2 linked regions of the Macaca fascicularis genome follow. The protein of the gene in region 1 interacts with the protein of each later gene in a biochemical or structural test. Links are inferred from orthologs where the notes say so. Each region holds a gene or a part of one and is shown on either strand. Other genes may lie near its edges.

Region 1 (4,245 bases):
GATATTTTGAAGTTAATGTGTTAAAAACTTGAGGTTAAACATTTGAGTTGTTATAAGCCAAACATCAAATGTGCCCTTATATTTTTAATGAAGCTCATCCAAATGCTAATGCATAAATCTTGGCAAGTACTATAAATAAAACAAGAAAAAAATACAGCAATGTATTTGCCATTCCCCAAAACAGCACACACTGCCGAAGATAATTTCATTAGTACTCACTGGTAACAAACTGCATGTGGTTAGTTTCTGTTTCCAATTCTAGAGCTGTAATTTTAAGGACAAAATATACAGTGATTCAGAGTGCTATCTGTGTGTATATAGGTATTATCACAACTCCTTTTTTTCTTCCAGATGAGGAAATTAATTGGGACCAATGTTTTTAGATCAAGCCATTTTAAATAAGCACTCTGATTTCTGAACAAGAATTTCAGCCAGTTAAATTGAGTAAAATAAAGGTAGGATATGAGTACATTATTCTGTTACAGTAATCTTCGTGTACTCTCAATAAAAACGTAACACTTGCATAGAAAGGTCACTATTAATGAAGGATTTATTTTATTTGAAAATAAAGTCAAAATTATGGCACCAAGGAGGGTAATAAACATTTGAAATTTTTATTGATTTTTAAATTTAAAATCCAGTTTTAACCACAAAATTGTTTGAATCACAACTGGTAATACAATGTCTTCAATATTTTTCTAAAGTTATTTTTCTATGTAATAATAAAACAGCATAGCATAATAGGAAGTTTACGTTCCAGTGGCTTTTTTATATATTTATCCTTCTTAGGAAGGACAAATTAAATTTTTTTAATTAAACTTTTTAAAATTTAACAACATCTAACAGAACTGTACAAAACAAGACATTTTTTAAACAAATTGCCAAACTTATGAGTGTGTTTTAAAAACAACTTTGTAAATATCTGGGCAAAGAAGTAAGCTGTCCTCCCTTTACCTTCACAGTGAGTTTGTAAGGCTTTGTCTTTGTAAGCAGGAAGAGTAGATTGTGTTGTTTTTTGCCAAAAACTGTTTATACTTAATCTCACTGAAGTATTGCTATATGGAGAACCCATACTCTGATCAACTTGATTTTTTTGTGTGTAATGCTTGATCTACCAGGTAACTTCCCTACTGCTCCTAATGCCAGTGGGCTAATCCCAAATTATTATTCCACTATCATCCCTGTAGAAAGGTCTTGGTTTTGATGAAAATCAGCCCGTTCCTTACCTGCTACCGCCTCAAAAAGGGACCAGGAAGATTCTAGCTGGCTAATTCACTGTTCCCTTTGAGCAAAAAAACAGGGCACAGGGAGAAAAGGACTTAGATGGTGAGAGATTTGGCATATACCTTCAATGTGCGCCCTATAACACAACATTGTCTCTGATCTCATCTTTCTATCAAATCACTTCCAACACTCCAAGTAAAGTCTCAGGTATTCTTACATCTGTATCATCAAACATGAAGCTTCTCTTGTTAGAGTAATTAATCTTTGGATTAAAGTTTCCCTTTGAAATAAAACCACCTACCTAATCTGACTGCTAAATTTCTAGCTTGTTTGTTTTAAATATGCTCAGGAGTCAACCCAGAATTCTGCAGCAAATAAGTTTGCTTATTAACAAAAAAGTAAAAAAAAAAAAAAAAAAGATAGTCTCTACGGATAGATGTAAGGATGAATTACTTAAGTTCAAAATTAAATTCTGATTCTAAACACAACAATTTTTTACATTCAGGATTAAGATGTCTTTAAGAGTTGAAACGACTTTGGAGATCATCCAGCCCAACTTCCATCCAGATATCACGCCTCTCACATATAGTAGTCTTCTGAATTATAAAAATTTATAAAGTTACTTCCAAAAAAAGCTACATAAATAAAAATTACCTATTTATAGAAATATCTATTTAGCAGTTCCATAATTTAAAATATTCAAATCAAATTGGGTAGGATTGGTTTGCCTCTCACTCCCACAGACTATATTTACACCCTAGACACAGCAAGTTACATTTAAACAATGAGTGTAGTACTACTTAACTAAAATGGAAAAAATAGTACTCTTAACATAATCCCTAATTTTTTCATGAACATAAAACTCCAAGTCACGTATGTGAATTATATCTCAATGTAGCTGTAGGAAAAATAAAAACCTGTGCTAACCTGGACTTTGGTCTCATTTAAGATTTGGTTCTGGAATGCAAATACGGTTTTTGAAAGCCCAATAAAATTAATTCTTGTATGGTCTGTATATATTGTTTGCAAGGACTACAAACACTGCATCACAAATTGGAGGCTTTGGTAAATAACTAAGTGTCCAACATAGAAAATAACTATTTGGTCAAAAGTATAAAAGGTCTGACCTTATTTGAAATACGAAAAAGCTGAGTACTTGGAAGATATATGAAAATACTCAGCATAGATGCTATGAAAAGCTAAATAACAAAGTAACCTTTTTTCTCAAAAAATTATTTTAGGCCACAGTATATAAGAGAACTTATTGCTATTTGAAGTTTCATTAAAAATAGGTTCGTATATAGAAGAAATTGTGTCAGTAATACCTCTTCACTAATATAAAACAATATGCCCCTTTTAGAAGACATGTTCTCTAGATCTCATTTCTAAAACTGTATTTTTCTCATTTCTAAAACTTAAGTATCCAATCAAACTGACCTTACTAAAATCCCACAAATTATAAATCAATTAATGTTCTGATTTCATTAATTTTGGCTTGTTTCATTTCGTCAGCATTTGGTTTTTTAGTTCCAAAGGCTCCTGCTGCAAGTTCTCTCTTTTTGTTTTGTATTTTCAGCATATTTTCTTCAACAGAGTCCTTTACAATGAACTTTAAAAAGAAAAAAAAATGTTAAATTGGTTAAGTAGTTTTTAAGGCATAAAAAAACTAAATGAACAATTTGCCTAATGGCAAAAACCGCAATTGCTTTTGCACCAAACTATAATAACTCTTTAATAGAACTGAGTTTTGCTTTCTTTACCCAATATGGTTTTCTTATATAAAGAATATGGCTGTACGAATAGAAGTTACAGATCATGAGATAAGCAAAGCAAAAAAGAAAGGATAAAAAAAGCAAACTATATAGGCAACTCTGGAAAAATGACTTCAGCATTATATTAAAAAGGCCACTCTGGCCGGGCGCAGTGGCTCACACCTGTAATCCCAGCACTTTGGGAGGTCAAGGTGGGTGGATCATGAGGTCAGGAGATCGAGACCATCCTGCCTAACACAGTGAAACCCCGTCTCTACTAAAAAACAGAAAAAATTAGCTGGGCGTGGAGGAGGGCGCCTGTAGTCCCAGCTACTTGGGAGGCTGAGGCAGGAGAATGGTGTGAACCCGGAAGGTGGAGCTTGCAGTGAGCTGAGATCACACCACTGTACTCCAGCCTGGGTGACAGAGCGAGACTCCATCTCAAAAAAAAAAAAAAAAAGCCACTTCCAGAAATTCAAGAATGAATCTTTAGTATAATTCATAACACTAACAAAGAGAAAAATAAAACATGATCATCTCATTCCTGATAAAAACTTGATTTTAAAATACTCTAACTACGAATGAATGTCTCAACCTTACATATTTAATGTGAAACAATAAAAGTATTCTCAACAAAACAGAAACAAGTGAAGAATGGTCACTATCTGCTACTATTTAACATTATTTAAGAAGTCCCAATTACTGCCGTAACTAAAGTTATATAATAAAATTTTACTGAAATACATAAAAGATCTACATAAATGGAGAAGAGATACTATGTTCCTGTATAGAAACATTCCTTATTTATAAAGAAAGATAGTTCTCAAAAGTAATAATAAATTCAATAAATCTCAAACAAGATATCTTAAATGGGATTTTATAACCAAAATCTAAAGTTCAATTCAAGAGTAATAATAATAACCACCAATACAATTTTCAAAAAGGGTAATCAGAATATTTTACCCTATCAGATATCAAAACTTACTTTAGGAAACCATAGTTGTGATAAGAGTAATACTGCCCTAAGAAAAGGAAAAGAGATCAACAGAATAGAATAGTCTAGAAAAAGACCCAAGTAATATATATAAATTAGTTTATGATAAAAGTGACATTTCACACTAGTAGGGAAAAAGTTGGAATTTTCAAATAAAAAAATGATATGATGTGACAGAACAAATTGTTCTTCATCTGATCAAAGAATAAGCTTAGACTCATGTCACAAATCATAAAACAAAAAATAAAACCTTCCAAAAGAACCATAAGTAAATAC
Region 2 (2,926 bases), on another chromosome or scaffold:
GTAGTCCCAGCTACTCAGGAGGCTGAGACAGGAGAATGGCCCGAACCCGGGAGGCGGAGCTTGCAGTGAGCTGAGATCCGGCCACTGCACTCCAGCCTGGGCAACAGAGCGAGACTCCATCTCAAAAAAAAAAAAAAAAAAAAAAAAATTATTAAGCTTGACAAAATAAAAGGAGACTTTACCTGACCACTTTTCTATATTCTTCAGTGAATTCATCAAACAGCATTTTCAACAAAGCTTTGTATCCAGTACTTTGAAGTGAAATAGTGACCTAACGCCTCATGTCACTTTGGTAAAAGCAGAACATAAATGAATTTTCAACTTCAGAGTTCATATTTGTCAGAGTAGAGAACAGTGGAATGAATAAAGTTATCCTTGTTAGTATTAAAAGCCCTAACTGGAAGATAAAAGTCTCCAATTAGTTCACCCTATTTATTAACCAAAAGCTTCACAGAAAAACAACTAAAAAAGATGTTATGATTTTAAAAATGGGATATGTATTTGGATAATTTGCAACCTATAATCCTAAAAGAATTGCTAGACTGCAAAGATATTTTTAATAATATTATTTCTGGTGAAATCAAACTCAAAATATAATACCTAGGACTCCTCCTTGTCCAAAGAAGAAATTAAACTAGGTAATTTCTTTTCTGAAATAGTCTGCACATTATAATTCACAAGAAGTACACAAAATAGGGTAAATAAAAGTGTGTATACAGGAAAAGCTACATAATTCCAATTTTTGCTTCCCTAGCATGGTACTGTACATATACTACATCAACATAATAGAAATGGCACAGTCTCTGAGGACACGTTCCACATTTTATTTACATTTTAAGACTAACTTTAATCTCCAAATCACATATCCATACACCTATTTCCGTTTTGTTGACTTCACTTAAACTTAAATGCATGGTTAAACAAAGACTGTAAACAAATATTTACCATGTCTGTTACATGTAACACACAAGAACAGCTTTTAACAGAAATTCATCAACTTCCCCCAACATTTTTTATTATAAATACAGGTATCAAAACAATCCTGAACATATTTTTGATACTACTAGTAGTCAGCACCCACACCGCTTCAAAAATTAACACATCTGTGACAATATTCGTTGTACCTGCTACTTTTTAAACAATTTCAACTGCAGCTCTCTTTCACTAAGCAAGATGGGTAAAGCATGCCATTTCTGTTTTCTTTCTTGAGATTTTCACTTTTTAGAAACACACATGCTTCCACTGCCATCTGACACTTCTCCACACGCTTTCATCTTGTAAACCTGAATTCTACTTTGAGTACTCCAGGTTTATGTTTAAATGACAGTGCCTTAACAAGAGAAAAAAAATTGTGCTGCATTTTTCCTCCTGTTACCTGAAAACATAATGGGTGTACATGTATTAAATATATTCTTACAAATGTCCAGGTCATGTTTACCAGCTGGAATTCTTTTACTTAATGTGTGGGTATTTTTCATTGTGATATTTAATCAAGACATTAACATGAGTAGAAGGTTGTTGATTTAAGACAAGTTTGAGATCCACTAAAATTAATTGTTGTATGTTTGTCCTTCTGGTGGCTGTGGAAGCTTCATATTTTCTTTGGACATCATTAGACGTCTTAGCTCTTGAAGTACAACTTTAATGCTATATGAATTTTGCCATTTTGCTAACACTGGTATGCTCCGGGCATCCACCTGAAAGGGGAGGAAAAAGTACAGTTAACTAGCAAGTTTAAAGTACTATGGCATCAATTTGTTAAGTGTATTTTAATAAGAATGATTTTGAAAATTCATAGCTTGCCTCTATTTTCACAAAACATACACTATGAAATTACTAATACCATAATTAGTATATTTTATCATAATTAGTGTAATATCTTGGGAAAATATAAAGATATAAAACATATAGTGAACTTTGGTCATCAGAAATAAATGTTATATTAAATAACTACTTTGTAAATAAATTTACCAATTCCTTCTTAATGGAGTAAGGTCAAAAAGTTCCTCTCCATTTCCAATGGCACTACCCAAAATCTGGGGAATTATCTCACACTGAGATTTAGACGAAAGCTACTAAGCTGATCTCTGCTTTCAGATTTTTCTTTCCAATGTATTCTATGCACTATTCCTAATTTTTTTTTTTTTTTTTTGAGAGAGAGTCTCACTCTGTCACCCAGGTTGGAGTACAGTGACATGATCCCAGTTCACTGCAACTTCCGCCTCCCAGGTTCAAGCAATTCTCCTGCCTCAGCCTCCCAAGTAGCTGGGATTACAGGCACCCGCCACCACGCCTGGCTAATTTTTCTATTTTTCATACAGACGGGGTTTCGCCATGTTGCCCAGACTGGTCTCGAACTCCTGAGCTCAAGTGATCCACCTGCCTCAGCCTCCCAAAGTGTTGGGATTACAGGCATGAGCCACCGCACCCAACCCAAATCAATCTTCTGTGAAAGAGCAACAGAATGGGGATGGAGCTCCTTGCAAGCCCATTCAGTTAACTGTCAGCATTTGACCTGTCCTGCAGTTCCCTGGAAAACTCCACTCACAGAGCTTTCCTTTATCTGACCTCAGAGCTCACCTATCTTCAGTCACCTCCTACGTTGGGCATTTGTCAAAAAAAGCTGAGTCAAACAGGAAGGTGGGCCAGATGTGGTGGCTCACACCTGTAATCCCAACATTTTGGGAGGCCAAGGCGGGTGGATCACAAGGGCAGGAGTTTGAGACCAGGGTGGCCAACATAGATAGTGAAACCCCGCCTCTACTAAAAATACAAAAATTAGCCGGGTGTGGTGGCACATGCCTGTACTCCCAGCTCCTTGGGAGGCTGAGGCAGGAGAATCACTTCAACCTGGGAGGTGGAGGCTTCAGTGAGCCAAGACTGCGCCATTGCACTCCAGCCTGGGCGACAGAGTGAGACTCTGTCT

The links.
Region 2: the proteins of HLTF (region 1) and UBE2V2 form a complex in vitro, tested with the Homo sapiens proteins (2 studies listed by BioGRID). The link is inferred for Macaca fascicularis from reciprocal best matches to the Homo sapiens genes HLTF and UBE2V2.

What each region holds. Positions count from the first base shown.
Region 1 is NC_088376.1:51,844,720-51,848,964, forward strand, and holds the end of HLTF (helicase-like transcription factor), read right to left. Parts: intron 2,834-4,245; coding exon 2,681-2,833; 3' UTR 591-2,680; downstream 1-590. UniProt on the Homo sapiens protein: Has both helicase and E3 ubiquitin ligase activities. Possesses intrinsic ATP-dependent nucleosome-remodeling activity; This activity may be required for transcriptional activation or repression of specific target promoters.
Region 2 is NC_088382.1:57,952,600-57,955,525, reverse strand, and holds the end of UBE2V2 (ubiquitin-conjugating enzyme E2 variant 2), read right to left. Parts: intron 1,698-2,926; coding exon 1,551-1,697; 3' UTR 805-1,550; downstream 1-804. UniProt on the Homo sapiens protein: Has no ubiquitin ligase activity on its own. The UBE2V2/UBE2N heterodimer catalyzes the synthesis of non-canonical poly-ubiquitin chains that are linked through 'Lys-63'. This type of poly-ubiquitination does not lead to protein degradation by the proteasome.